4 linked regions of the Tamandua tetradactyla genome follow. The protein of the gene in region 1 interacts with the protein of each later gene in a pairwise test. Links are inferred from orthologs where the notes say so. Each region holds a gene or a part of one and is shown on either strand. Other genes may lie near its edges. The genes, in order: CMTM5, GAD2, MTERF3 and SPG21.

Evidence for each region.
Region 2: the proteins of CMTM5 (region 1) and GAD2 interact in binary tests that used the Homo sapiens proteins (3 or more experiments, as listed by UniProt). The two-hybrid records come from large-scale screens. The link is inferred for Tamandua tetradactyla from reciprocal best matches to the Homo sapiens genes CMTM5 and GAD2.
Region 3: the proteins of CMTM5 (region 1) and MTERF3 interact in binary tests that used the Homo sapiens proteins (3 or more experiments, as listed by UniProt). The two-hybrid records come from large-scale screens. The link is inferred for Tamandua tetradactyla from reciprocal best matches to the Homo sapiens genes CMTM5 and MTERF3.
Region 4: the proteins of CMTM5 (region 1) and SPG21 interact in binary tests that used the Homo sapiens proteins (3 or more experiments, as listed by UniProt). The two-hybrid records come from large-scale screens. The link is inferred for Tamandua tetradactyla from reciprocal best matches to the Homo sapiens genes CMTM5 and SPG21.

Annotation. Positions count from the first base shown.
Region 1 is NC_135340.1:31,515,002-31,523,363, forward strand, and holds CMTM5 (CKLF-like MARVEL transmembrane domain-containing protein 5), read right to left. Parts: upstream 3,204-8,362; 5' UTR 3,174-3,203; intron 2,906-3,173; 5' UTR 2,798-2,905; coding exon 2,681-2,797; intron 1,760-2,680; coding exon 1,607-1,759; intron 1,028-1,606; coding exon 935-1,027; intron 728-934; coding exon 643-727; intron 559-642; coding exon 545-558; 3' UTR 263-544; downstream 1-262.
Region 2 is NC_135327.1:224,518,215-224,525,540, reverse strand, and holds the start of GAD2 (glutamate decarboxylase 2), read left to right. Parts: upstream 1-4,295; coding exon 4,296-4,371; intron 4,372-5,063; coding exon 5,064-5,123; intron 5,124-5,302; coding exon 5,303-5,452; intron 5,453-6,370; coding exon 6,371-6,604; intron 6,605-7,326. UniProt on the Homo sapiens protein: Catalyzes the production of GABA.
Region 3 is NC_135332.1:140,115,480-140,123,836, forward strand, and holds the start of MTERF3 (transcription termination factor 3, mitochondrial), read right to left. Parts: upstream 3,165-8,357; 5' UTR 3,031-3,164; intron 1-3,030. Other genes in the region: PTDSS1 (phosphatidylserine synthase 1), read left to right, coding at 3,574-3,752.
Region 4 is NC_135340.1:81,792,508-81,799,761, forward strand, and holds the start of SPG21 (maspardin), read right to left. Parts: upstream 3,204-7,254; 5' UTR 2,994-3,203; intron 2,557-2,993; exon of another isoform or gene 2,475-2,556; intron 1-2,474. UniProt on the Homo sapiens protein: May play a role as a negative regulatory factor in CD4-dependent T-cell activation.

The sequences.
Region 1 (8,362 bases):
GCATCAGGAAGCCTTGTGCCTTCCTAGATATAAAACTCCAGGCGCCAAGCACCAGGCACGCCACAAAGTGGCCCTGAATCCAGAGATTTGTGGCAGGCAAGTTTTGTGTTGGATGATGCCTTCTGTGTCTTCAGTCCATCCCCCACCTCCTCCCTGTTCAGACCAGGGTCCAGAGAGGGACCATGACCCGCTGCAGGCAACACTTCCAAAAACACACATTCTTTGAGAGGCCTAATTTCTGGGAAACAGAAAGACTCGCCACCAGTACTTGAATCTTTTAATTTGGGAAGGACTTGGGAGCTCAGCTTCCTCCCCTCTGTCGTCCTTCCCACCCTCCACGGCACCCCCTCCTTGGGTGGAGCTCCATCAGGAGCCAGGTCCCAGAGCACCAGGCCCCACAGATGCGCCTGGAGACTTCTCTGGCCAGGCGTCATCTCCATGGGCCCGGCTGGGGAGGTGGTAGGCAGAGAGTCTCGCAAAACCGAAGATGTGTCTGGGTTCCTGTGTCCCCTTAAGACTGGCTGGAACTGGGGAGCCCTGGGGGTCACTGCTGGTCGCCTGCGAAGATGGAGCCAGGCAGGAGAAGGAAGCTCAGAATGGGGTAGCTGGGGCTGGGGCAGGGGCACAAGTGCAGACACTCACCCTGGGTGGCCCGGGGCCCCAGCTCAGTCTGGTAGATCTTGAAGGCATCGTAGGCAAAGACGGAGACCAGGATGATGCCAAAAACCTGTGGGGGTCGAAGCAGGGATTGCACAACCAAGGGCATCAGGCCATTGGATTTGGGAAGAGGGAGGCGGGTGACCTGGGGCAAGGCGTGAGCCACAATCCTGGGCACTGGCTTTGACTCGAGGGGCGGGAGGACCCAGAAAGGTGCATCTGCAGCCATCAGCCAGGGACCCTGGGGGCCCAGAGGGCCCTGCAGGACCAGACTCACAAAAGCAGCGATGGCAGCTCCGTCCCGGGAGGTCACAGCGGCAAAGGAGACCACCAGGAAGATGACGATGGCACTGATGCAGCGAAGAAAGTCCTGGGGGAGATAAAAAAAGTGGGGGGTGCAGGGCCAAAGGGAAGGTCAGAGGTCAGGGGCATCCAACCTGAGGTTTTTCCAGGCTAGTCAGCAGTGCTGCCAGTCCTTACAAGGGGATACCCTTGCACACACAAAACGAAGCTCTTTCCAAAGGGCGCTCCCCCTACTACCAGGGAACAGATGCAGATGAATCCAGAGCTACCCAGGGCAGGAGGCCAGGGGCCTGCAGGGGTAGGGGGGTGCAGCCGATCCCAAATGGCGACTGGAGCACCCCAGCCAGAACCTGTAGATGGCCAGGTTCTTGGGAGAGTGGGGCTGGACTTTGGTGAGTGGGAGAACAGACAAGGGTGTGCAATCCCCTCGTTGTCCGTGACCCATGGAGCCACGAAACCGGCATGGGTCAGTTCTCAGCTTTTGATGGCAGGGCACAGCAGGGGGCAGAGAAAAGCTGAGGCAGGCGGGGCTGGGCCCACCCTCACTGGGCCTAGGGAGAGGGGAGTCTGGGAGAGGAAAAGAAACCTCTGTGTTTAAAGGAGAAGGGAGAAACTAGGACGGGGTGGGGGGGGCAGGTGTCCTCACCAGACAGGGCCAGTTAAGCCGATCGAAGCGCTGGTAGTACTGGGTGGCGTACAGGAAGAGGAAGACGAGGGTGACGAAGAACTCGAGCAGGGCGGCGGCCATGTAGGCAGAGATGGAGGCCGTGAAGCAAATAAAGATGATGAAGGTCAGGGCCTGCAGGACCGAGCATGTGGTGCTTGCCAGGAAGGGGACACGAGCCCACAGGCCAGGGGCTCCCCCTGGCTGGCACCATTTGTCTTTGGAGAGGAAAGCAAGAGCTCTGGCAGGTTCCACCACCCCACCCTCTCCCCTTCCAGTGACAGGAGCTACCAGGCCGGGGCATTTGCCCATTAAACGCAGCCCCAGCGGTATGGCCGAGCTGCACTACTCCAGGGGGCACCATTCAAAGGGCAATGCAGACAGCGGTGGCCCCCTGGAGCACAGAGGACTGTCTGAACACTTGCCTCTGCAGTTGTGCCCGTGAAGCCCTGGGCCCCAGGAGGCATGCCCTGCCCCCTAACACTTTCCCCGCTCTCAGATGCCTAAAACTTCAACAAGGAGCAAAGTCCTCAATTCCACGCCAAGAGGCGAGGCTCAGAAGGCAGACGCACACGGTGACCCAGGGGCCTGCAGCTCTGGCAGCACAGGATGGCAAATGTGCACAGAAATTAAGTGTACACTTAGTGACCAGGGGAAGACCCTATCCCGAAATAGATTTTCACGGGGAGTAGACAACAGATAAAAGTGGAGCCACAGGAAGTCTGCCCTTTTTGATAGTTCTTAGACATGCCAAGAAGTGGCCATCTTAGAGGCCAAGGAAAGGCAGGCAGGCATTCCAACTCCCTGTCCCAGCCCTGGGACTTAGGTACCCCTGAGGTCCCCAAGAGTGTCCTTCTGTCTAACTTCAATTCTTCCTGCTGCAACTGTCTCTAGATGGAGAGCGGCCAGAAGGCAGGGTGGGAGATGGGGGTGGGGGAGATGGCATCCAGAAAGCCTGGGAAAGGAGGCTGCTGGGAAGGCCCCGCGGCCAGGGCTGGGCCAGGGAGCCAGGGATGGGAGAGAGGGAGGCACCCGATTCGGGGAGGCAGCAGTTACCAGCTCAGTTTCCAGCAGGATGCCTCTGAGGGAAGAGAGGAAGGTCTTGTCCACGGCGAAACCCTGGAGTCCCGCAGCTGCCCCCTCCTCGGGGGGCCGGTTCCGAGCGCTGAGCATCTCCGGGGGGGCCCACTGAGCACAGCCCCCCTCTGCCACAGCCCAGAAAGGGAAATGGAAACCTGGCAGGATGGGTTAGCAGCCAGGAGCAGGGAGGATGCGAGGAACCTGAAAGTGAAGCAAGGAGGCCAGTCTGCGGGGCCCCTGGAGAAGCCGGGGCAGGCTGGTTCCGATGGGCCCTCCCCCAGCTGCTTGGACTCAGAGTGCCCCCCACTGGTGCCTGCACCGGCCCCCTGTGAAGTGCACAGGGCGGGTGGGGGTGAGAGAGGAGGAGAGCTGGGGTGTGATTAGCCCCTCCCCTTACTCCCAGCTGACCCAGCCCGGAGAAGGGGAGCAGGGAGGAGGAAGGGGCAGCGGAGGAAGTAGGCAGGCAAACCAGGGGGTGCTGGGAGGTAAGCTGAGAAACAGAGTCAGGACTAGGAGCCCTTCAAGGACCTAAGCCTGAAGAAACTTGTGTCCCCCGCCTCTGCCTTTAACCCTCTTCCTTGGCCCCTCCTTTCTCCCTTCTCCTTGTAGGGAGGCTGGGAGCTGGAGCCTGGCCCAGGCTGCACCCCGCCTGGACCGAGCTGTAGCAGCCAGGACCAGAGGACAAAGGCGGATTGTTGGGGGGACAACGGGGTGCTGTGTGCCTGCTGCAGTGCCTCAATGGGCCTCTGTATCTCTGGCAGGCCGGAAAGGCAGCCTGATCCCCCACCCTGGTGTTCGGGAGTAGGTCAGGGAACCAGAGAGCGGCAGGGATAGGAGGGCACAGCGGAAACTGTGGCAGGCAGAGTGGCAGTAGGTGAGGGGTGGCGGCGGGGGTGGGGAGGAGGGGAGAGTCCAAGCTAGGCGACCCCTGGGTGTTCAGGTATCAGGGATGCCAAAGATAAATGAGGCCACTTTTAAATATGACTTCTTTATTTGGATACATCTCTCCATGCTCAACAACAGCCTCCTCCTCAGAATATTCCATGTCAAAAGATATGTAACTACACCCTGATGCACACAAAATGGATATTTGAGGAATGAATTCATGAATGAGTGAATGAACAAATGAACAATAAACGGGGGGCTCTCCACTGGCAGAGAAGAAAACGTCAAGAGAGTGCCCGTGCTGTGCAGAGGCAGCTGGGAATAAGAGGAGAGGAGGAAGCAGGCGTGGTGGCCTCATGAGCAGAGCTTTGAAGCCCTTTCCCCACACCAGCTTTCAGCAACCACTCCCTTCGCTTCACCCTGTATTTCCCGTCCATTCCAAAAAGTGCAAAAGTGCAGGTCCCCCCCCCCCCAAAGCCCCCCATCCTGTCCCAGGATCCTGCTGCTCCAGGTCGGTCATGCTTTGGAGAGGCCGAGCACTTGGGCGTCCTGGCCCACAACGACTGATGGGTTATGCGACCCACAGCTGGCCCAGCCCCAGTTTTCCCGGCGAGGGAGCAGCGGCGGGCTGGCCGGCTAGGCCATCACACGTGGCCGCACACACACGCAGGCCAGGGAGACGCGGTAGACTCTGCGCTCCAGGCAGTAGCCCACGGGGGCACCCTGGTGGCCAGGACACCGCCGCCGGTAGAAGACGGTCTGGTTGTGGTAGAGCAGCTCCGAGTTGCCCAGGGGGTCCATGTCAGAGCCTGTCTGTAGGCTGACGCAGTGTGGGCACAGGCAGCGGGCGTGGTACAGGTCCTGGGGCAGCCGGTTCAAGTCCCTGTCCAACCTGTGGGGGCAGCACGTGTCAGGCCCTGGAGGGGAGCTGGTCAGGCAGACAGGGAGGGAGGGGGACACAACAGCAGTGGGGCAAGGGGGGTGCCCCACGTGAGTGTAGGCGTACACGTGTTAGACGAAGGAAGTGCTGTGGTGGGCGGCCTGGCTTCTAGCCCCAGCTCTGACCCTAACCGGCTGTGTGACTTTGAGCCAGTGACTTGGAACCCTTCCTCTCTGGATTTTCTTTTCCCAACTGTGAATAAGGATAGGGGACTAGAGAACGGTTTTCTAACTGGTCCAAGGGCCATTAGGAAGGCTGGAGAAGGTGAGGAGTCTCTGCACAATCTGGCATATATACTGGGCTTTAGCATGAGATTCTCTTTTTGTTATTGTTATTACATTTTTATGTGCTTTTTAATTGTAAAAGTAAAAACTGCCCTTAAATCTAAGTATAAAGTAATGGCTAATGGTCCTGCCCCACCAGTCTCACTCCCCAGAGGGAGCCACTGTCAACCCTTCTTGCAACCTTACCAGACACTGCCCATGCATGTATCATAAGCACGTGTGCAAGTGTATGGTAAGACCTATTTACTTATTTTGACAAGTACTTATTTACTTACTTAGCAAAAAAAAAAAAAAAAAAGAGGTTTACGAACTACTGCAAAGTGTGCCAAAGGTCTGGGACTCCAGCAGTCCAACAGGAAATAGACCCTAAATATAAGGACCCTTCCCCATACAAACAAGCCCTGGAAAATTGGGGCTCAGCTAGCACAATATTTCCAAAAGTAGGTTCCCTAATAAGTATTCTGCAAGAAAATGGATCTGTGGCCAAACGAGTCTGGGAAGTACTGAATTAAATGGGTTCTTTTCTGCACACTTCTTGCAGCCTTTAATGTGCTGTGGGCTAGAGCAGCCTTTCCCAAGATTCCTTGACATTGTCGCTTTTTTTTCCAGAGGAGCAGCTTGTGGGACAAGCATGGCATAGAGCACACTTTGGGAAAGGCCAGCTGGGTGATTCTCAGGGGTTCACAGACTCCCGCTAGAGATGGCCACCTGGCGACAGCCTCCCCTAAGCGGCTGCCCCTCCACTGAATTTGGCTCAGGATCCAGCTAGCCTTCTGAGACTGCTCTAGAACATAATGACCTTGAACCTCCATGCTAAATCTAGTCCTGATTAAAGCTGACCCCCGTCCCCCTCTACCCACACCGAATAGATGGATGGAGATCCATCTCCAAAGCCAAAGCTAAGCCAGAACTAGAATTACGGGAAGTGGGAACATGGACATCTGATGAGGACACAAAACAGAAGAATAAATAGGTCTGTGATCCTGAAGGCCCTAATTTTTAATATTTTTCTTCACTGTCCCTATTTCAGAGCCTCCTAATATTTTCCATATCATGGCGCAAAGAGCAAAGGATAATAGTTTTGTAGCACACTGAATGAAAAAATAAGACCACTCATGATCAAAGATAACCAGCCTGAGATTCCAGCCATCCAGCTGCCCCCAAAGGTTAAAGGTTTCAATAGCTTAGTATACTTGTAACTCTCTTCCCTGCATGGCCCAGAGCTTTTTTATCGGGATACCGTGTACCTGTATCATACCATCATTCCCTGAAACTTTCACTAGAAAAACATGGCCACTGGAAGGATAAGAAAAGGAGAGAATCAGCTTTCCCTGGAATAAGTACAGACTTTTACATGCATTGTGGCATTTGATCTGCACATCAGCCTATGGGATGTTCCCCCATTCTACAGATGAATAAAAATTTGAATAATTGGCCCAAGATCACCCAGTAAGAGTCAGAGCTAGGATTCAAACCCCAGCCATGTGGGACTCCTGAAACATCATGGCCTGCCTGAGATTAAAAGGGGAAGAAAGTAGACTGGGCTTGGGTGGAACTCCCAGTTCCCCTCGCTCACACCCTGACCGGCACACACGTTAGGAGGGAGACACAACACACTCACTCATATCTCCAGGGGGAGATGGCCCTGCTGTGGAGGGGTCCATCCTCGCTGGCCCGGCAGGACTCTGGAGGATGGATGAGGGGGCGGGTGAGGCTGGCAGCCTCTGGGGGAGACGGCACAGTATTCCACCTGAGCCACTCCTCAGAGGGGTCCTGCCCTTTGCCGGAGCAGCAGCTGGGCCATTGGGTACCTTCCTTTTGGAGCCTCCAATTATGGGTGTAAGTTCCCATGACCATCACCAGGAATGCAACCACCTGTAGGTAAAGGCCAGAGAGAGAACCGCTCTCACCTAATCTGGGACCCCTTCCACCCAAGCCACTCCCCCAGCTGTTCCCTGAGATCCTGGTTCATAGCTCCATCTGGCCCCCAGCCCCAAACCAGGGAGCCTGGCCTGCTCAGCCCTCAGCAGCATCTCTGCTCCTTTCCTGCTCAGCACCATGCTCTCCCAACCCTCTGACCTCTCACCTGGTACATGCTGGATGCTGCTCGCTCAGCCACCAGGGAGTGCACTGATAGTCAAGGTCTTGTGGAAATGGGCTGGCTGGAGTATTTAACAGTCCTGGTTTTATTTTGAACAAACCTGTTTTGTTTATTCAAATTTATTTCCACTACCTTTTGGAGGGAGTGACCAGAGATTTAAAAACTTGAAACTGTTTTCCAAAGTTGCTTAAAATACTATACTAATGGAAGTTATGAGAGTCATTACAAAGTCTGGTAGCCTATTGGGTCAACTTTGTTCTTTGTACTTTTCCGGGCATGGGGTCAAAGCAATAGTGTTCCATGTCTTTGTGAAGTGGCATTGTGGGAATTTCCCTGATTGGCTTGGTATCCCAAAATAAGAAATGTCATCTTGCCTCTCTTCAAGTGGCCTCATTTCCATGACTTCTGCTGCTTCCACCCAGAGCCTTGTGTCCACCATTCCCTCCTCTCTTCTCAGGCCTCCTCCTGGTCACCCACTTAGTGAACACTTTCCTTCCCCCTTGTCTCCTGTGACCCCCCCATCTCTTTTGTTCCCTGACCCCTTCCCCATCTTCCATGACCCCAAGTCCTAGAAGCCCCATCATTTATGACCTTTACCCCATTGTCCATTAGCCACCCCCCAACTTCCCCTTGCCCTGTTTAGTGACCACCTCCATTCCTGAGCTTTGGCCCCTTCCCCTGGGATAGAGATACAGGTCTAACCCTAAAAGATTTCCAGGAAGTCTCTGACTCCATCAGTTTGTTTGCAGGATCTGTTGGAAGAAGTTGTGCGTGACTATCCTCATTGCACAAATGAGAAGGTGATGCAAGGAAGAGGAAGGACACCTAAGACGCATTAGGAGTCCCAGCTCCAAGGAACTGCCTGCCCCCACTCCCATTCACAGGGCCTTGGGGCAAGGACGAAGGCAAGGTTTGCTGCTGCTCTCCACCAGCCATGGTTGGCCAGGAAGGAGTATATGTGCTCTGGAATGGCTCGGAGCTGGACCTGACATCAAAGACATAACTCTCCTAGGGTCCACTCAGCCTGGGGGACACTATGCTGAGAGCAGAGCCTATTTCCTGGCAGGCCTACCCTCTCTATGGACCCCCTCCTCTCATCCCCCACACCCACAACATCCTCCCACCCAACATACTCATTCTCAAACACGGACATTATCTCTAGAACGATGTTTCCTGATTTGCATGTGCTTTCCCTTAGAAAATACTCTCCTCCAGTAACCAAGGACTCAGAAAATAAACAAAAGGAACAAACCAGGAATAACAACTGCAGAGTGAGGGGGAATCCTTTCCAATGCTTTATGGTGAAGCAGCCCCCAAGCAGAGGAGGGATGAGGTCAGGGGGCATTCTGGAGAATTGGGGGGGGAACTTCTTTGGTGAGTTTTGAGGGTCTGAAACTGCATGCCAGGAGGTAGAGGTGCTTGGGTGAAACAGGTGATGGCTGGGAGAG
Region 2 (7,326 bases), on another chromosome or scaffold:
AGGAGGACAACGGGCGGGGGGTGGGGGGAGGCCCTTGGGAAGCCTCCCCGCATTCCCGCCCTCTCTCCACTCTGGCTAGCCCGGCCAGCGCGCCATCGGGGCGTCCCTGTCCCCCGCGCCCTAACGTACCTCTTGGGTCTCTAGTTTGTTCTGATGGTCCCGACTGAGCTCTCGCCGACCCCTTTTCTGGTTTGGGGTGATTTCAAATATTTGCCCTTTCTTGGAAACGTCTCTCCCAGGCCTGCGGGACACACGCGGGCCGGCGATATCTAGGGGAACAAAGCGGGGCGGGGCGGGGGGCGGGGTGAGGGTTTTCTCTTCCCTTGGTTTTTAAATTTACTAAATAAAGTGCCTTGGAAAGTCTGTGGCCTGCGGGCGGCCTGCGGTGCTCCCCTTTGGGCCGGACGCCTGCTGTCTGGAGGTGTAGAGGCTGCATGCGGGGGGTGGGGGTGGTGGAGGTTCCCTCCCTCTCCATCAGCGAACCCCTTCCTCCATCGACCCAAAAAAACATGCAACCTAAGTTCAAACCCGAGGTTTGCGACACAAACGCAGCCCCCGGAAAAATCTTTAAGTTCCCCGGGGTTTCTCACCCCCGCAGCCCCAGCGTAGCTCCTGCCTTCCTAGACTTCCCTCCACTGAACTGAGTCTGCTCTTTGTTCGTCTAGTCTGCAGGATGGAGCAATCTCTGCTCCTCCAAATTCAGGTGTATTTAAAGTGGGGAGGGGGCGCTTTCATCAGTTGCCTACACCTTATTTTTTGAATCGAGTTAAGTTCTTCTGTGACCTGAAACCCTTCGCGTGTACGCGGCCTGGGAGGGCAGGGGCAGGTGGCGCGGTGTTCTGCTGAGGTGTGAACTGGGCCGTGGGTTCTGGTTGGAACGCGGCTTGTGGCTTCTGGCGGTGCCTTCGTCTCCCACCCATGGCCCGGGTCCGAGAGCGCTAGGGACGGGTTCGAGGCTCGAGTGGGGCGCATACAGCCGCGTGGTGGGTTTGTCGCGCAGTTTTCTCCCGCCTCAAGAGTTGGCACTAAAGGGTCCCCGGAGGTGACTCGTCCGACCTCTTCATTTTACAAACGAGGACCCGGGATTCGGCGGAACCCGAGTCCGCGCGCGCTGCAGGCCCCGCGCTTTCCCCTGCCCCAGGCTGGGAGGGGAGTTAGGGAGGGGAAAGGCGGCGCGCACCAAGGGCAGGGGCGGGCCCAGGCACACAGACCCGGAGGGCCCGGCCCCCTCCGCCCTTGCCCACCTATCCACCATCACCAGGCGGCCCTCCGGAGAAAACAAGTCGAGCCCCTCTTCTCTCCCAGAAATATTCTTCCATCCAGGCTTCCCGGGTGGCAACTGCGGACCAGAGCCCTGGCGACAAGGCTTGTGTTGCTGGACAACAACTAAAAAGCCCCAAAATCTCGGCTTTTTCAAATGCGGCTGGAGACAAGAATGGTAAATGCTTGGTGAAATGGAGAAATGCTTTTGTTTTCCTTTTGTACTTGTTTCTTTCCTTCCTCAACCCTTCGTTCTCTGTCTTTCGACACTGAAGTCCTGGAAGGACATAGGGAAAAGCTCATACTACCCCCTCCCCGCCCCCCGCTCCTTTGGCGGGGCTGTGGCGCGATCTCGCGTAAACCACCGCCAAGCGTTATTCACCCGAGGAAACCGCTCAAGGTGACGCCCCCGCAGCCTGGGTCTCTCCGCTCCATCGAGGAAGAGCCTTCGAAAGCTTTTCCCCGACGCGGGCCCGCCTCCCCTCCCCACTCAGTGGCAGCCTCCTTTGTGAACTAATGACTGTAATTATTACTTCCCGGAGCTGTTTTGTTATCTCCAACTCGGAGCCAGAGGGGTAAGGGGTGGCTCTTTTTGCGAAATCAAAGTCTTTATAAAGCAAATTGCCCTCTTGGGAGGCACGGCGTTTAGGAGGGACAAATCAGGTCCCCGTCTAGCTCTGAAGTAGGGTGTTTAAATAAAAACTGGAAATACCACCATTAGACTCAAAGTTCTGCAAAGCTGCGGGATTTAGTGGCATTTGAAGTCACTGCGCTAAAAATAAAAATTAAATTCAGGTGTTGGGATTTTCTCTTGTTTTAATCAGTTTCTACCTGGGGGGATTTGCGTGTTTTTTAACGCTTGTTTTTAAGAATGTCTGTCTTCACGAACGCTCATCCATAAGCAGGAAAGTTCTGCAACCACAGCTTGCAGGCTTGAAGCGAAACAAGACTTGGTGTGGATTTAAACAAAGAACAGCCCTCTCTGATTCGTGTCTGAGATGCTGGAGCGAGAGCTGCGGAGCTGCCCTGCGCGGGGTGTAGACGGCCCAGCCACGAAATCTTTACAACCCTGGAATTATCACCTGTTTTACACTGGAGCGCTGGGGGCGGGGAAGAGAGGCCGATCTGAGTCCAGGTTTGGGCCCTCTGCACGCCCGGAGCCTGCTCGGAGAGGCCCCTGGACGCTGCGCCATGGACTAGACCAAGCCCGCGCGTTCCGTCCAATGCCTTCCGACGGCCGCCGTGCGGATCCTCGGGCTCTCCTGGGAAGAAGACAACGCCTTATAGAGAGAGTTGACCAGGCCCCCGCGTGCCACCCAAGGGTCTGTGATGCCTCTAGGAAGCAAGGGTCGAGGGCTGGTGGCAAAGACCTGCGGGTCTCTGCTTCCACCGCAGCTTCGGTGCCCGTTCGGCATTTCTGAGAAAGCGCGGCCTGGGACCACCGTGGAGATGGCAGGCGCTGCCCTGAGCGCCGGGTAGGCGGACGCCGCGGGAGGCTGGGAGCCCCCCTTTCGCGTTCGGGTCCTTCTCGCCTTCTCCCCACGAGCCCAGGACAGACAAGGTGTGCTTGACGACGGTCTCACAGGCAGAGAGTCAGCAAGGCGAACTCACGGGGCCCCAAAATTCTCAAGTCCTCCTCCCTTTGTTAAAATGACTTTAGAGAAAGGAAACCGTAAGTGTCGAGAGAGGCTCCGACTCTCTCCCCCTTTCCACCTGGCGGTCAGAAATAGAAGAATCACTGTCCCCTCTCCGTCCCCCTTTACCGTGAAGGTTCTCCTTTGGGAGGGGGACAATTATTGGTCAGAGGCCCCCTAAAGCGCGAGCCCTGCAGGCCATGCCTTCCTTCTGCCTCGGAGAGGGAAAGCCCAGATTGCTTAGCTGGAAACCCTGTGCACGCCTCCCACGCTCAGACCGATTCGCTGTCACACGTCAGCAGCGGACCCCTCCATGCTTCGGCGGGCCAAGGTCACCAGATGACTTCATCCCATCCCCCATGGGCCATCAGTCCTACGAGCTCGACCGCTCTCCCCTCCCCCTTCCAAGAAGTTTCCATTTGTTTTATTCTTTTCCCCAGCCTGAGGTCCTCGGTGATAGACTCCAGCGTGGATTTTAATTGCCTCAATCAGCAGTGCTTCTTCCCAGCTGTCAGTCAGAACCCGGACTGTAGGTCCCGCGACCGCGCGCTCCGCTGCGCAGGAATGGTGCGCCCGGGGGGACCGCGCGGCTCAGTAGGCAGGCACTAGGCTCTACTAAGGAGCTGAAATGAGCCCATCAGCGCCCTAGACTCCCTTTCCCCACCGTGCCCTCCCCAAGCTGGGGAACGGCTCTTGGTTCTGGCCCAGAGAACCAGTCTCTGGAGGTCGCAGAGACCTCGGCACCCGCCTGGAGAAAGGCGGCGCGGGACCCGTGTGCGCTTCTCCACAACGGGAGACAAACCTCAAACAATAAGCAGATCGATGCCTGCGTGGAACTCGGCCCCCTTCCCGCCGCACCGAGGCCTCTAGTCTGGCGTTTCGGGAGCCTTAGCCGCGCGCAGCCGGCCGCGTTAGCACCATGGACAGCGCCAGGACCTCCGGGGCGGGCGGTGCAACCACGCGCGACTCTTCTCCGGCGCGGCCTGCGCGCCTCCCGCCCCCTCGCTTTGACTCCTGCTCACGCACCCTGTCTGCCTTGCACCCTCCCGTTTTTTTCTCTCTGCCGCCCTCTCGCCAGTCCCTACTGGGCTCTCCCGGGCTCAAAATCTCTCCGACACTCCGCGCTTTCCCATCTCCAGAATTCAGGGACTCTTTGCCCCCCTTCCCTTTTGATCCCCTCGCCTCCAGGGCTGCCAGAGCGATGCCACGTCTCTAAGCCCTAACCCCGCCACACACGAGCGCGCACACGCAGACACCACGTTTCCTGTCCCAGTGTGACACCCATCCTGCGCCGCGCGGTGCCCTCCTCCCGCCACACGCGCACGCACGCGCAGGGCCGAGCCCGGGCAGCTCGCCGGCACTTCACACTCAGAGGCGACCTGCTCCAGTATCGCCGCGCAGATGGCATCTCCCGGCTCCGGGTTTTGGTCCTTCGGGTCTGAAGATGGCTCGGGGGATCCTGAGAACCCCGGTACAGGTAGGAACCTGGATTCTGCTGCGTGTGCTTTGTGGGGCACTAAGGTTTGCGGAACTGGGGTTAAAACGAAGGAGGGTTTTCCACCTGCAGCAGGAAACTTCTTCCGACGCTTCACTGCTCTCGAGGTTGGTCCTTGACGGTCCAAGAAACCGAGGCCGGGCAGCCTCCTTTCCCTTGGGCCCTTGTGGCTGAAGTGAAAGCCCCCCAAAGACGGCGGCATCTCCCAGACCCCGAAATCCAAGGGCGAAGGGTGCTGCCACATTCTTGGTATCGGGACGCTGGGGAGGGACGGGGTGCGCATAGGGTAAAGAAAAACAAGGAAGGGGAGAGAACGCTTGCTCTGGAAGGAGAATCTGCGAGGAAAGCGCAGCCTTGGTGTCTAGAAAACGCCCGAGCAAGGCGGCGAGGGGAATTTGTCTGAACCGATTGGCAACTGGAAGGCAAGTGCAAAGGGCCCCGGGGTGAGTTTCTCCTTGTCCCCGAGCAAGTCCCGGAGCCGAGGGGGTCTTGGCGGCCAGGCTCCCGAGCACATCCCGCGCCTGCCCGCGGCGCCCAGCCTCGGACGGACGCAGGGGAGGGAGGTGGCCCCTACCGGGACCCGGACCTACTGATGTCGTTCAAATAGGACAAAATGTCACGCATCCGTCTGCTCTTCTCTTTCTGCCTCGCTGTTGCTTGTCTTTCTCCTCCAGCCAGAGCCTGGTGCCAGGTGGCGCAAAAGTTCACGGGCGGCATCGGAAACAAGCTGTGTGGTGAGTGCCAGCTCCCGGGGTAAGGCGGGCGGGGCACCCCGGGGCGCGCGGTCCAAGCGCCTTCTCACCTCGGGTAGCACCACCGGCGAGTTGGGCTCTGTTGGCAAGAACCAGGCGGGGCTGAGAGGCCGGGCCTGGCGAGCGGCTGACAGCGACCGGCGCTCTGTGTCCTTGCCTAGCCCTGCTCTATGGCGACGCGGAGAAGCCTGCAGATAGCGGCGGCATAGAGTCCCCGCGAACCGGCGCGCCGAAGGCCGCCTGCGCCTGCGACCAGAAGCCCTGCAGCTGCCCCAAAGCCAAGGTCAACTACGCATTTCTGCATGCAACAGGTAAGTGCGCCCTGCCAGCCCCGCGCGCCCAGCCCCCTGCCCCGCCCCCACCACTGCGCCCGGCCATCCCCTCGGGGACACCCGAGCCCCGGCGCCGAGGTGGCAGGAGGAGGTGGGCCTGCCGGGGCAGGCTGATCCCCAGCGGCTTCCCGGTCTGAAGCCGGCCTTGCACGCGCCGATGCCGGTCTGCCTAGGCGTCTTCCGGGCATCGCGCTGCGATCTGAGCGCGGTCCTGGCAGGCAGCTGGCGCCCGGGCTCGCCGTCGGCTGACCACGGCCGCCCGGGCTCCAGTAGAACGCGGATTTCAGACCTCCCGCCGACCAATGCAGGAATGCTGAGACTTTTATGTCTTCAGCTTTTGAGGGTCATTTGTAGCCGCGGTTTCGCGAAAGAACCATTCTGGTCCTGTGAGACCCGTGCACGAAGGTTTGCCTCAGAGCGTTAACACACTCAGTCACCCAGACACGCACGCGTGCACACACGCACGCGTGCACACACGCACACTGATTTTGGAAACAGCAGGCCGGAGATCCTAATGTTACATGTTCCATTTTGCCTGGTTAGCCCGAAGGCATTCCTCAAACATTTCTGATATGCCTTGTTTCCATAAACAGTTATGATGGCTTACTGAGAATAACGTTTAAGACGAACCCTTATGGCATAGATGAATAGATGCACACGCTCTTTCTAAAAAACAAAAAATCATTGGAAATGCAAGAATTAGTTGGAGGGAGTCGTCATTTTTCTCATTTATCTCCTTTGAAAAATATCTCCCCTTTAGAGAAAATGGCCCGCAGTTCCAAAAGCTGTTATTCACACATAAAATCTCACCGTTCCGAGAGAAATTGCCTGATCAAAATCTTGTTGGAATATTTTCATAGTAAAATTTAAATGTGGTATTTTAATCCCATTCCTTAGACCTGCTGCCTGCTTGTGATGGAGAAAGGCCCACATTGGCATTTCTGCAAGATGTTGTGGATATTTTGCTTCAGTACGTGGTGAAAAGTTTCGATAGATCAACCAAAGTGATTGATTTCCATTACCCAAATGAGCTTCTTCAAGAGTATAACTGGGAATTAGCAGACCAACCACAAAATTTGGAGGAAATTTTGATGAATTGCCGAACAACTCTAAAATATGCCATTAAAACAGGTACTGTTCAATCAAAAATGATAAAAGTCTTTTTTCTTTTACAGTTTTTATGTTTTCTATAAAATTTTCTATTTTATGGAATTACTGATATTTTCAAAATTGCATGTTTTCCATCATTTTAAAAATAGTTATTATCAGAATGATTAAATGCAAAAAGCACCTTCTAACCTTGCTGTTGATGCTGCTGAAATTGGTAAGATGAGGGGCTAAGTACATGTATCTAAGTATGTGTACATGCATCTGAGTATATGCATATGGCCATGGAGATTAACTTCCAGTGTGGAAGCAGCCCATTGTCAACAGAGGCCAGTAAAAGCGATCCAAAATGAAGAAAGGGGGAATATGGAAATTAAAGCTCAAAAAGCATGATTCAAACAAAAGCCCGAATCCCATTGTGCCTGCTGATGGTCTCCTTGGCACAAAAACGGTCAGAAACTGGACTGAGCATTCTCGCACCATCATGAAGTCAGACAGTTGTATTTTGGCATTGTCTCAAATGGCTAAGACCTCAAATTAGAATTGTATGTTTCCTACTGGTTTTAAAGAAATGTAAAAAAGAAAATATAAGATTCACAAAGGCTAGCTTAGCACCCCAGCCACGTTACAGACGTGTGTCCTTCGCAGACATTGTGGAGGTAAGACAGAGCAAAAAAGGGCAAGAATGGCTTTCCTTAGGGGCATGTTTTTAAAAATGTATTTTGTGGTTTAAATACTGGTTTTCC
Region 3 (8,357 bases), on another chromosome or scaffold:
ATTAATTTAATCATTAAAAAAAAAATAAAATAGGGCAATCACATATCCTTAAAACTTGAAGGACATTTAAGCAGCAGAGTGCTGATCAAAATAATATAATTATTCAAATGCTATTTTATGTCCTATAAATTCATCACAAAATAAAAAAAGAAAGCAATCCACTGTCATAAGTGACTCATCAAAATATTATCATTGCCATATAGAACAGTAAAAGCTGTTTTTTGCTTCATACTCAGAGCTGAACATTGTGATTATGTCACAAAAAGAGCCGTTCCTTAGTTTTGTCATCTGCTTTACTGCAGAAAAAAGAGAAAGCCTTCAAAAAGAAAAGATTAAAACAAGCAAGTAGAACAAAGTGATAGAAATAAGCAATCAGCAATGAAGGTATGCATATTTTAAAAGAAAAAGTAGTTGCTTTTAAAAAGCTTTCATCAGGAAAGGCTCTCACTACTTCAAATTCAGGGTATATGAACGAATTTTATATTTAGCCCAACTAAGCTAGGAAAATAAATTCAATGCCCACAATTTCACATCAAATAAAACAATACATATAAAACACTTAGCACCAAGTTGAATTCTTGATATTCTCACAAGCAGTGTGGACAACAAAAGCTATAGGCTGAGCCCCCAGTCTTGGGGTTTGTTCATATGAAACTTAACCCCACAGGGGATAGGTCAAGCCTACTTAAAATTAAGCCTACAAGTCACCCCCAAGAGAACCACTTTTGTTGCTCAGATGTGGCCTCTCTCTCCAGCCAACACAGCAAGCACACTCACCACCTTCACCCTGTCTACGTAGGACATGACTACCAGGGGTGTGGATCTTCCTGGCAGCGTGGGACAGAAATCCCAGAATGAGCTGAGATTCAGCATCCAGGGATTGAGAAAAACTCTAGAATGAGCTGAGACCCAGCATCAAGGGATTGAGAAAACCTTCTCCACAAAAGGAGGAAGAGTGAAATGAGACAAAGTGTCAATGGCTGAGAGATTCCAAACAGAGCCGAGAGGTTATCCTGGAGGTTATTCTTATGCATTAAGTAGATATCACCTTGTTATCCAAGATGTAATGGAGAGGCTGGAGGGAACTGCCTGAAAATGTAGAGCTGTGTTCCAGTAGCCATGTTCCTTGATGATGATTGTATACTGTATAACTTTCACAATGTGACTTTGTGATTGTGAAAACCTTGTGTCTGATGCTCCTTTTATCTACCTTGTCAACAGATGAGAGGAACATATGGAATAAAAATAAATAATAGGGGGAACAAATGTTAAAATAGATTTAGCTTGAAATGCTAGTGATCAATGAAAGGGATCAGTAGGGGTATGGCATGTAAAATTTATTGTTTGTTTGTTATATTTTTCTGTTGTCTTTTTATTTCTTTTTCTGAATTGAGGCTAATGTTCTGGGAAATGATCATGATGAATACGCAACTATGTGATGATATTGTGAATTGCTGAGTGTATGTGTTGGGAATGTTTGTGTTTCTTGTAATTTTTTTTAATTAATAAAAAATTAAAAAAAAACACTTAGCACAGGATCCAGCATATGGAAAATGCTTAACGTCAGGGTATTGTTGCTTACACAATCAAATACAAATAAATTCTGTCAACTTAATTTTTGCAAACGACTTTTTGGTTTATCTCCATAATGGAATTCAGCTTTGTTTATGCTCCGAATTAGACCAATTATCTGAGGGCCTATCCTCCTGGAGATTCGTAATTTATGGAGGTTTGATGAAAGAGATTTATAAAAGTGAAAGTCTCACTGCCATTCTGAAATAAGTATTCACAAAATCCTTGCCAGCAGGCTTAAAAAAAATTTTTTTTTGGATAGAAGTGACTTGTCAAGTTTTTTCTCAAACCTACAACACCCATTCTCTGCACAACAAAGTCATAAGGGCACCAACTGAAAGACAGAAGATCTCAGTCATGTTACTTTGACAAGAACAAGTTTCTTGTGGCAGTCCAGCATAATGCACGGCCCATGCTGGGAGGTCAGCAACCATCCCTTACATAAGAAACATTTAGTGTACAAGATGATTATGATTCCTGTCAGCTCTAAAAGTTTCCAACTCTTAAGATGCCTAAGTATTTCATCTACTTGAAAACAAACTTCTGATATCCCAAATTCCCTCTTCAGCCTTTCCAGACTCAAGTTAGTACCCCTCCCACATCAGGCAGGATGAATCTTCATATAAATTAAAAGGCATTTGTGCATATAATTAATGTTTATCCTTCTATTTTAATTTACAACTGCACTTTCTTTTCCACATCATCATTTCACTCTGTCCAACTTAACAACTGAATAATTGTTCACTCATGAGAACAGAGCAGCGGCTCATCTCAGAATCCACCTCGCAGCAGCTATTCTCCACTAGTCCAGATGTCTGTTGAATGGCAATGTATCAACAGTAACTATTACTTGCCCACCCAGCATGCAAAGAGGGGAATCCATTTGCATACCAAAAAAGTGACGAAAATAGTTCTTCTAACAATGGCAGGACGATTAAGAAAAATTCAAGTCCTTTAAAATACCAGATAGTTCTCAACACTGCAAAGTATTTCGGCGGGAATAGTAGTTGGCACTGAAACACTGCTGTTTCAAGGGTTCAAAATTTCTAGCTTTGTAGGGCTAATATGTGGAATGAGGCTACTAAGGTGGGGAAGGGTAAGCTTCGTAATAAAAGGGCCTCCCAAATAAAACTTTACGCCCTCCCTAGGTCATTTTAACAAGTCAGTTTCAGTTCCCCATACTCAACTTCCGTAGGAAGCCCATTTGCACTTTGGGCTTCCTTCAGCGTCCTCCGCAAAATGCGGTAATTAACAAGTTTCCGTCAGATCAGCCAGGGAAAAAAAAGGAAACAAAAAACAAAACCAAGCGCCCTCAACTGGGCCGCAAAGATCCAAAGGCAGTGATGTTCACTGCGTGGATGAGGCAGGGTAGCGGGGTGCGGCCTTGTCGCCGGTGCTTCGGGAACCAGAAACGGGCCGGACCCCAGCCTCTCCCGCTCTGGCGGTTCCTAACTTTACCTTGTGGCGAGGCCTGGGCCTTGTCGCCTAAACCGTGGTGGCCGCCCGGAACGCCCGGCCCGGGTCCTGTGCCCAGGAACCTCACATCAGCTCATCCGCCGGCAGGCCCCGCGCCGCCGGCGTCCGGACACCACGTGGGCTGCGGCCCGTCTGGGCGAAACCATTTGTGAGGCTGCGCGGGGGGAGAGAGCGGGCGGCGGTCCGATAGAGGAAAGAGCCCACTGAGAGTCAAATTCCCTTCTCTGCTTGCTCTTCTATCAAACCTCATTTTGTGTGAGTCCGAAGACCCCCGTGAGTGTTTGGAGATAGCCCTCACAGAGCGCCAGTTTAGGGACAGCCGGCGGCGCCCCCCGCCCAAGACCGCGTCGTCTGCGCCGCGACCCCGCCCTCCCGCGCCGATCCTCCCCTGGGTTCCCAGCCTTTGCTGGGCGCCAGAGCCGGCCCGGCCGCCCGACCGCTGGCCTGTCGCGGTTCACCACCACCTGGGTCCCAGCCTCCGCGGGCTGGGGCCGCCGCCACTGCCTCAGGACGGGGAGGCGGGCCATGGCGTCCTGCGTGGGGAGCCGGACCTTGAGCAAAGATGATGTGAACTACAAGATGCATTTCCGGATGATCAACGAGCAGCAAGTGGAGGACATCACCATCGACTTCTTCTACCGGCCGCACACCATCACCCTACTCAGCTTCACCATCGTCAGCCTCATGTACTTCGCCTTCACCAGGTGAGGCGGGCCCGGCCGCGCGAGGCGAGCGCCAGAGGGCAAAGGGAAGAGGCGAGAGGGAGGCAGTGGCGGAGAGGGTGGCCCGATGTGACTCTGGGCTGAAGAAGCAGACTGTCTGCTCCACGCACACACAGTCATAGCCAGAGCAGACCCGCCGCCCACGCAGCTCCTCCACCCGTGCGTTGTCTCACGGCACACCCCAGCCGCCTCCCCTACAACCCCCCTGGACTAGACGCCTTTACCTCCCCTTTGCTCCCCCCCAACCACTCCCCACCTCTCAAAACTACCCTCTCCCATACAGCGCCTCCCATACAGCGCCACATCCCTAACACGCGGGTCATCCCGAGCCGCTATCTCCCACCGCCTTCAGCATCGCGCCCCACGCATGTCACGACTCTGGCCCCTTCCTTCTGCAGCCCCTCCATTATCCGTCCTTACCCAGCACACCGCATGAATCATCTCCTATGCACCACTTTGAGGACACAACACTACACAAAACCCACAGCGCCTCCAGAATGCAGCACCCCATACCACACACACGCCCAGAAGTCCTCCAGTATTCAGCACAACGTGCCAGACACACAAAATGCACACTTGAGGCCACCCACAATCCTCTTCCATGCAGCGCTTCCCCTCTTCATCACAAAGTCACCTACCATAACTCTTCCCCCATCCTCAAACACCGCCCATCTATACCAGGACACAAACTGCTGCTCTAGACACAGGACGCAGCAGATGGTTCCCCATCCAGCACAGCTGATGCCCCTCACCTCTTGAATACCATCATGCCACACAGCCCACCAGCAGAGACATCACGTGGTACACACTCAGCCAGTTCACCACTTAGCATACATGCTGAAAGGAGACTTTGTAATGCCTGTGGCATAGTAAATGCTATATCTATCAGATAAATACAACATAACAACCCTCTATCCTCCTGCAAACATATACACACATACTCAAAGCACTTCTGGTATAAGTCTGTTCACATATCATGTAGCCCTAAAATATATCCCTATACATGTGGCCTTTCGTTCTCAACCCAGGGAACAAATACAAACCTGGTGTGTAACGGGCAGACACACTATGGTTCCTATACAAGGATTTGTATTTTTTGAATGAACCTCCTTAAGGAAAGGAAAGTCATGCCTACCCACATCGTTACAGTTTAAAAGACCAATCCAGATGAGTGTAGTTTTGGTTTCAAAATTGGCTGTGTCCTTCATAAATTACTTAACCTTTCCCTCGGCCTCAGGGTCCACACCTGTAAAATGAAGATGAAGTAAATACTTACTCCATATAGAGTTACAGAGATTAAATGGATATATATATAAATGCACTTAGCAGAGTGCCTGGTACATGATAGTCACTCAAACTGATATTGCTTGGCTCCCAGTTTTTTTATCCAACAGTGGTTTTCAACAGGGAGGCTGGAAAATGTGTAGGTTTTTTTTTTCCCTTGGTGGTCCCAAGGATTGGGGCAACACTTCTGGTATTTAGTGGGTGGGGCTTAAGGATGCTAAACGTGTCACAATACATGGGACAGCATTGTACAACAAAGAATGATTTGTCCCCTATGCACACAGACATACACAAACACGAATGGCAGTGGTGCCTCCCTTGAGAACCACTGCAATTATTCAGATTTTCATAAAGCCATCTTCCTACACCACATTTGTTCCTGACCTCCATAATCCATTGGACTTTTGGTTCTTATTAAGGAAGTATTTGTCTTTTTGAATTAAACTGCCTAAAGATATAGAGCATGTATGATGATTACTTGCCCTTAATGATTGAGGGATCCTGCTGCTATTATCATAGTCTTCTGCTATTGCTATATAGTGAAATAAGACTAGACTTTTCTAAGGAATCTGACCAAGAATGTATTTTTAGCTTTGAAGATAGATCAGTTGTGCCCCTAATTATGATTACCCTCGAATACTTCATCATATCATCTGATTTCATCACTTAATACCCGTGTGGCCACTTAGTTTTGCTAACCTCAGTTTCCTTATCTGTATGTAAAATGAAAATATTAATAAAATAATACCTCATAAGATTACCTGTCGTGAGGATTAATCTTTTTAGATAATCTATGTGTTTAGCTCAGTGCATGGCAAATAGTAAGTGCTCAATAAACATTAGCTGTTATTACATGATTTCATTGTATGCTAATGCCTTCTAAATTATATTAGAAGATGCAATATGCTCTGTAATTGAAGCAAAGGATAAAAGCTTTGGAAAAATGGACGTTGCTTTGACTGATTGACATAGATGTCTGTTTCATATTAACTTCATCTCCTGTATGACTTGGCAGTGATGAAATAAGTAAGAGAATTTCTTTGGAAATTAGAAAACAATCATGGCATTTTATTTTAAATAATGAGAAGCAAAAATGAGCAGGTTGTTTCAACCTTTTATCTTCAATATAGTTTAGCCTCTTTCAGAATAGATCTCTCTTCCTCTTTTCTATTATAGTAAGTCACATTCTTCTAGAATTTCCCCTTTTACAACATACTCTGCCAAAGCAGTTAATAAATTGTGAAAGTAAAAGAAAGTATAAGTGAAAGTATAAGAAATAAATTTTAATTTTAAGAGATGGTCAAAAGTAATAGAAAAAACATAATCTGAACTTCAGACTATAGCCATTTCTAAAAGGGGTGCTTTTATTTTTTCCACTAATTTTGTGCAGAGACAGAAATCACATAATGAAGAGCTAATTAATAACACATTTCATGTTATATAAAATCAATAGCCCAATTAATATAATTTGTACTTACTACATCTTACTCATTTTTTTGGTAACAATTTCTGACCCTTTAAAGCAGATTACAAAGATCTCTGTCTTCCTCCGTAAAGATTTAAAATAATGACCTCTTAAATGAAAATTATTCATTTTGTGTTCTTTGTAGGGATTTTCTCTAGTCCCTTATCCTTATTTTCTAACAGGATTTTAGTTGGATGGCTGTTAGTGCAGTTCTTTCAGTAAAACCTTAAAAATAGGACTTAAAGTTTGTTTCTCAAAGACTAGTAGTCTCAGAGAACAGGAGATAGAATACATTTGGGGCATCAGATTTCCAGTATGTGGGAATCAGTACCTGGGTAATATCACATCCTGTAGTGACCAAGTGAGAATTTAGGATTGAGGATTATACACCTCACACAGAAGTCTGAGACAAATTTAGATTTACCAAGTAGTTCTTTCGTTAAAAAGCAGGTAAACCAACTCACTGTTAAACCATAGTATTTAAATCTCCTGTCCGCCTCCTTAAAAATAAAGTCAGATGTTACCTAGTAGATTCCTCCTAAAATTATAAAAAGCTTGCTTTGCCATATTTTAGAATAAGTATATTAAAATTAGATGCTTTGGCATATGTCTTATACATTTATTCAGCCAAGGTACGGCAAGGAAAACCTTTGTCTGAAGCTCAATGTTTAATTACCAAGGTACCCTCATATTTACTCTGATTTCAGAGGCTGATTAACTCGGAAATGTTGAACAACCTTAGTTTCAAAAATTCAATGTTAGATCAGAAGACACCAAAATGTACTAAATCCACTTTGCAGCAGCCCACCTTCTCCTCAAGAATCACCTGCCAATGAAACAATGAAAGCAGCCTCTGTTAGCACTCGCCCAACAAAAATCATGACTTACTTTAAAGGGGTCGGGTTGGTGGCGGGGGGGAGTTGCCATCCTACATATTGACTGTCCCTAAGTGCTTATCACCTTGTCTGTGTTAGGTTTCTCCTTGATACAGGATTAAGGAGACAGCCAGGAGCAGAAGAAGGAACAGACTTTTGATGTATTTGTTGGTGAATAATTGTTTTTACTTTAATTTCCCTTAGTGACTTTGGAGCTCTAGTTCATCATATCCCTTGGGCCACATTTCTGGCCTTCTGTGCCACTTCCCTTGTGGAAAACTGCCAGCTTCCCTTGTTCCTTTCCCATTAGACCATATAAATTCCCATTAGAATACATCTCTTGATACTGCAGATTCAGTTGTTTAGATCCCGTTTCCTTCATGTACATTATGTTCTTTCTCTCTCAGTAATAGGAAACCCTGGATGTCCTTGTTCTCTGACCCCAGCCATATTTAGTGATCCCCTATAATGACTGTATGGGATTAAGCAGACCCTGGAGGTGACCAAAGGCCACTGTGCTTGGGTCACTCTTGGGTCCAGTTAACATTGACCTTGAACATTTCTCTTCCCCAGTTACTATATTTCAATCATATATATAAACTATTTAAATGAGCATCCTTTTACCTTCATTTTTATTTCTGGTGTTTTAGGTCCCTAAAAGATTTTAAACTTATTGAAGGAAAAAATGCGCCATGTATTTCTCCGGGGTCTTTTGTAGCAAACAGGCATTTGGATGGTTCAAATATTTGTTTTTTGGGTTAAGTGGTGTCTCACCTGAGAGATTACATATCTGGGAGCCACTACCTCTCAGACTCCTCTTCAGTAAACAGCCCTAATTCCTGTTTGTTTGTTTTTAAATAATTATGCTTAGCCTTTTAGATAACAGTTCTGTTACCAGTTATAACATCAGTTTATCTTGTGATATAATCCCTCTAATCCCAGAGTTCTGAAGAGAAGTTAGGA
Region 4 (7,254 bases), about 50 Mb from region 1:
TGATTATGTCCTAAGGAGACTAAACTAGGCAATTCTAGAGTCCCTTCTAACCCTGGCTTTGGACTGGCTAAGCAACTTTAGCTTAAAGGATGCCCTTCTTTGGTCAGGCATCTGCGTTAGATCATAACAGGAACCTGAAATCATAGTTCCCTGTTGCAGATTCTTCCTGCCAAATGAGGAACCTCCACCCTAGGCATCAACTGGAAGGACTGGAAGCAATCACTACTGGCTTTGCACGCTGCCCCCTGCCCCTGGGGCAAGCCTGGCTTCCCCTGCAGGGCTAAGAGGAATTCCAGACTCTAGAACTTAACTCATGGGCTGACCCAGAACTGTCATTTTAGAGGGTGTTCTCAGGACTGGCAAGGAGCACAGGACTCTAAACTCAATGGAACGCATCTTTCTTGGCCTTCCAGATCTATACTCTAAAGAACACAGGGCCCTTGGGGTCTCTACTGTTACCTCTAACCTTGGAGGATTACTAAACAACCCCCTGGAAGATGGTGAATCTAGACATTCCTAAACTACACTTGACCTACAACCTATACACTGTAATAATAATGCTCTTGTCTCTAAAGGCTAACAGGGTACTTTCAGAAAAACTCATTAAAATTGTAAGTTGCTCTGAAGTACTTTGCTAAAAATCAGGGAGCAAATTCGATTCCCGGTGCCTGCCCATACCAAGAAATAAAAAAATAAAAAAATAAGGGAGCATAAATGCAGTTATTAGTCATAATGAAATAAAATCCCTCTTTGCATAGCCATTTAAAAATCTTGCTCAATATTATTAACATGTTAAAACATTTAAACCATCTGAACAAACTCTAGCCTCTCTCTAAGCTGGCTATTGTTTTTTAATTGAAAAGAACTAACACATAAATAGATAGTCCTGGAATATTTTTAACCCTGACACAGATGTGAAATGCTCCCATATCACACAAATACTTTATAATGAAGACATTTCCTAGTACAGCATTACTAGAAACAATTACTCTATTCTACAGGAGGGAACATAAAAAACATGCTTAGCCAATAAGATTTACTAAACAGTTAAAAAAGCAAATCTTAGCTAATTAAAGGCAGAAAGTTTGCTTCTAAATCCTCCAAACTGAGATAAAATAAGTTAATCATAGTTTGGGACTCATTTGCTATGTACAATCAAACTACAATACAAAGACACACACACACGATGCACAGTCTCACGAACTCAGACACGCGCTTCTTCCCCACAGCAAAAGTAGGAAGATGCTCCTTACCAATAGTCCTCAGGGTTATTCCCAGCCAAGTCAATGTTCTAATATTTTATAACTAATCTTGCAGGATGGAGAGATTCCACCCAACTGTGACTGAATTTTTGTAGAGACAAGTGATTCTAGCACTTGTCCTAGTCTGGCAGTACATGAAAGGTTAAACAGATACCAAATGTTGCAGCTGACCAACTGATGTCTAAAGGCGAAAAAAGCTCACTGCTGCAAAGAAAAGCAGCTGGGAGCAGTATGAAAAGGAAAGTTGTTCTCCCAGATCTCTTTCATCCACTCCAAAGGCGTATACTTTTCCAAGTCACAAGAGGAACATTCTGTAGATGGCAAAGAAGGTTAAGTGAGATTGTCATTGAACTGGTCAGTATTAACCAAGAAAGAATGAGGATCGCTGGGTTCAACTCTGAGTTGACCTCTCAAGATTCAACTCTTCAGAAAAACAAAAGCACCTGTTCGTGCTGGTGGGGAAAAGGCCACCTAGATTAGCCTCAATTTTGTGATAGGAAACCCCTTCTCCGGTTGTGCAATGGAAATGCACTCCTCTCCAGTCCTTGGGCTGTTCCACAACAAAACTGCCAGGTTGTGACTGTGCGCCAGACAGTACACGCACCTATCCCTCAGAATCTCAACAGAACCTTCCAGTTTGCAGGCAATCAAATTGCCCTCACAAGTGTTTAAGAAGTCTCAGAACCAGCTTATCTAGTGAGAGGCTTCCAACCTTTATTGCACTCTTTAGTTGATTTACATATGGATAATCTGTATTATTAACACCAGCAATAACAAAATAATAGAACCCAAGAGTTTCTAGGCAATGCATTAGCTTTTTAGTGTAAGCCTCCATGCTTAGCCACATCAGTACACCGCTATCCTTGTTTTAAGATCTCTTCCAGTAAGATTAGTCTCTCTTTTCTTCAGGAACCTATTTCATTATCTTCTATACCTCGTGGGGGGGAAAGCTACCTACTTGGCATCTCCTCTGTGACACCTCATCTTGTGCTCTATCTTGGTGTAAAAGCTTTGAGAATTTAGACACAGCTATTAAGTTACTCCTAAGTCTCTTGAATTTTTGTACCAATAAGAGCTGGACCATTGTAGGTGGAGACAAAGCAGCAGCATAAATACAGAACTTGTGAAAACAACTCCCCAGAAAAACAAAAAGAAGAAAAGTGACATTTTAGCCCTGCTATTCTTCTCATCCCCCATTCATAAGCGTCACACCTGGGTGGTACTCAGCAATGACAAAGACATTTGTACTTTCAGGCTGAGATAGAATCTCCAAAATAACTGGCGTCTGCTCAGAGTTCTTAAAAGTTTACTAAAAAAAAAAAAAAAAACTGTTCCTGGGCTGCAGATGTGTAGCTCCAGGATGGGTTTGCAGGAAGATGCCCTGTGCAAACCCCTCCAGGCGACCCATAACACCAGCCAACCTCACCCGGTTCCACCGGTGACAGCCACACAAAGGCAGGGTCACAGGCCCACCTACGACCCTTCTGAGCCCTGGCTTGGCCTCAGAGAAAGGCAGACACACACACATATACACATACACACATACATACACACCCACACAAACACACACACGGAAGTGCTATCACGTGCACGATCACATGGACCGGCCCACTCGGGGCTACATTCACAATCATACCGACCAAGGCAAGCGCGCACACTTACATACACCCACAATCTCACACTCAATAGAGACCCATACCACCACCTCCCAGGGCCTTGCCCACCCCTCACCTGCCGTGTCCGCCCCCACGACCCTTTTCCTCCCCAAAGCGGCTCTTCGCTACAATACCCGAGTGAGCTGGAGGAGCGGCTGGCCCGGAGTCCGGGCCCGCAGCCGGGACACCCAGGACTAGAAGCGGCGGCGGGCGGCGGGGGCGTGCAGGAGGGCAGGCCTCCGAGGGGCGGGGCGCGCAGCCCTCCCGACTGTCCCCGTAGCGGGCGCGCGCCTGGCGCTTCCGGGTTCAGCGGCGGGGGAGGGATACGTCACGGGGAAGGGGCGGGGGCTCGGGGGTCTCCATGGCGACGGGGCCCCCGATAGGCGGGGCTTGAGCTCAGTCTGAACTCCCGGAGTTCTCGGTTCCGCGGGTGCGTGCGGGAACCTGCCGTAGGATTAGCGGTGGTGGTCGGCGCGGAGAGGAAATCTGATTGCCTTTGAGTCTAGCTTTTGAGACGTGAGCACCAAGGAGGAAGTTGTGAGAGAGGGAGAAGGGGGTGTCCGGCCTCCTGGAACCTGCTTCTGCATTTCGTTCGCGCACACCTGGAGGAAGAAGATGCCTACTGTTCCCTCTCCTCTGTGTGAAGATTTGAGGGGATCCCCGGGGCTCCAGGTTTTGGTGACCAGGGCTTTGTATACTCTCTTCTTGCCTAGTTCTTTTTTTTTTTTTTTCTTTCCTTGTTACAATCACAGACACCCTCCATAACCTTCTACTGTAACGCTCCCTTCCCTTCCAGCCCTAATCTGGCAGCCCGGGGAATTTCCGGGAATTTAGTTCCACAGAGCCTCCCTCACCTTCTTCACTGCGGTTTTAAGAGCAGAGAATATGAATTCATTTATGATCACTTTTTAAACAAGAGGTTGCAGAGGCCGAAACAGCCCTTTTCAGTAAAATATTTGCAGATTTGCACTGAAATAATATGAAGATTAAGTAGCATGTAAATCTACCCGTTTGAAGTTATTTAGAGATAGTGCAACAAGATCCTGTTAAAAGTGCTTCTCCCTAATCTGTTTTAGGGAGAGCGTGTCTCCTATTTAAATGGACCTTCGAACTTTGACCTGATCCAGACAAGTGTTCATGGGATTTAGGTCAGGGGAGAGTCCTAAATTCCATGCTGAGTCATGATCTCTGCCCTCCCGCTCAGGAAGCTTTAGTTCCAGTCTAGAACTTGGACAAACCCCAGGAATTTCCCAAGAGCAGGATAATCTCTCCTGGTTTTCTACAAATCATCTCTTTCGGAATTGCAAGCCAGTCACAGGAAGTAATCCTTTATTATAAACACCATATAGGTGTATGGGGCATGTTTCCAAGAAGGATTTTTAACCTTGGAGGTTTTTTCTCAAAATGTGGGAGTATTTTAGTGAATGGAAAAACTGGCAAGTCACTGGATATATGGAAAACCCATTGCAGGCACTCATTACATTAGTTATTGGTGTATCTCCCCAGCTGGGCTGGGAGCTTAACACATGGTCTGGCCCATAAAAGTTACTAAATGTATACTGAATGAATGAATGAGTGAAAAAATAAATCTATCCACATGTAGTCCTAAAACTGTATTCCTTAGATCCCCCATCCCCAGACCTTACTTTAATAATTGCCCTAATGAGAACTCAGCTATGAATATGCCCATACATATGCCTCTGTCTCTTTATATAATATACAAACACATCCTTATTCTGTTAGGTGGGTAATAACTAACAAATAATGGGGTTTTTTTTAATGTTTCCTATAGAAAATGACCCTATGCTCATGTTTGGGTCCTCAGTTGTTCTAGAACACATGGCAAGCAGATTGTCCATTTGCTAATATGAACAAGGAACATTTAATATCTGTGAATTCCAGCTGTCCTATTAACGCACAACTGCGGACAGCAAACTTTTGACCCACGGCACACAGTGAAGCAGACCTTGTGGACCAGGCTGTGAGGGTTTGCAGCTGTTGTGTTTGGGGTCTGCCAGATGGTTCCCTCAGCACCAATCCCTGTGCTAGACTCACACTGAACAACTGGAATGTTCATGAAATATGCTGTGAACACCAGGCAAAATAAATAGATGGCCAGCTGGCTCAGAACTGCCCAAGCCTCTTAACTGATCCCTTGAAAACAGTTTTAAATCTCACCTACAAAACAATACTAGATATACTCTGTGCACACATACACATAAGTAAATGCATTTTTTAAAAGGTTGGGAAGAATACACATTTAATAGAATAGTGGTTACCTCTGAGGAGGATTTTGGTATGGAAGGAGTGGTAAAGGAGCACTTTGGCTTTATATTTAGTATTTGAATCTATGTAAGAATGATTCATATATTGTGTGATTAAAAAAATTAAAAGTACCTATATTTTTGTGTGACTCCCCTGCTTTCAATCCTTCAATTGCTCCCCACTGCCTTCAGCTAAACTTCAAGCTCCACTGGGCTATCGATGGGATCATGTGATCTCATCACAACAACTCTTTGAACATCCCCAAACACTTCATTTGGTCTCAAACCTCTATAGACTTTTGTGTGTATATTCTTCCCCCTCTAAGAATGCCTCCCTTTACTCAACCCAATAGAATGAATAATCCTATTTTACCTCCAGGAACTACAGATGCGTGAAAAAGTGAAAGAGAAACAAAACACTGATTTTTCAGACTAACCCAGTTCTTAAAATATCTTGTAAAATCTTCTCAGGGTACAATTAACTATATGTTATATACCAGTTATGCCGGGACCCATGAAATGAAATACTGCTTCTTCATGGCCAGACCAAGTCTGGGTCAAATGCATATCGCACCGTATTATAGGGATCATACACAGATATATCTGGAACCACCCAAGAAAGATGCTGACATGGTTATTCTATAGCTTGCTAACTGAAGAGCCTATCAAACAGAAGTTATATATAGTTATCATAATTACTGATTTAGTTCTGATGCAAGAGTTAACAAACCTGAGTTCTCTTCTTTCCTCTTTCTACATCTGGTTTCCTTATCTGTAAAATGAGGCCAAGGTTGACCCATATGATTTCCAAGTTCTTTCTAATTATAAAATTTTAGAGTCTATAAATCTAGGAGACTTATTGAATATTTACAATGGCTGGCCCTCAAAGCTTCCCTTCTCTGATAATCTCCCCTCTCCTGCTTCCAATAAAACTTTAAAGAATTAACCTGCACACAAAAATGACTATTTAATGGAAACAGTATTTGAACTTCTTGGCGATGTTAATGTTTGTTCATTATCGACCTTTCTCTCTTTTTTTTTTTTTTAAAGCTTTATGGATTACTTTTTCCCAAGAATTGGTCAAAGACACTATCCTTTGTAACAACTTTTTTTTTTCATGGGCAGGTACTGGGAATTGAACCCGGGTCTCTGGCATGGCAAGGGAGAACTCTGCCACTGAGCCACCACTGCCCGCCCCATTATTAACCTTTTAAAATGAAATTTCCTAAGCAACTTCTAAAAATAAAAAGTTCCTAAGCAAAGGTACAGCTTTTGTAGCATCTGCCAACTCAGTATCTCATTAAGGATCCTTTCCTAAATGCTAATGCTTTAGTTTGCCTTTTGGAGGAAGCACAGCAAAAAAGAATCCTGGAAAACAAGAGTGCACTGTTTTACCACAAAAAGCAGCAGTCTTTCGGCAGGTTTCTACAACGTATTATTAATTCTTCAGGTAAAAAAAGACAGTGATTAAATAGTGACTAAAATAAGAAAAATCTCTTTGAAACCACCTAGCACAGAACCTGTATAATGGGTACTCAATTAACTAACGTGTTCTCATTTCTCAGTTTCTGAATATCAAACCCTAAGACATTAAACTCCCTGATCAAGGATGAAAATATTTCCAAATACAGATAGGGGAGTAGAATGGTCAGACTACCAGGGGGTCAGTTCTAGCTCCATCACTTACTAGGTATTTATTTAACCTTTTTTGTACCTAAGTTATCTCATCTGAAAAAATGAGGAAATTCTACTATCGCAGGGTAACTGTAAAAATAAAATAACGACTGTTCATGTCATGTCTTAGACATGTGGCCAGTACTCAATAAAAGTATTAGCTAATAGTATTATTAAGAATCTGCTGTGTTCCAGGCACTGTGCTAGACACATTACATATATTATTTCTGTTCCTCATGACAATCCTTGCATAATAGGTATGACTTTCATTTTGTGGATAAGGAAGCAGACTCAAAAGAAGTTAAGTAAACAGCTTAGGCTTATGATCAGAGGGGAGAATCATGGTTCACATTAGATCTGTCTGACTCAAAGACTCTGCCTCTAAAGATAGTATAAAGA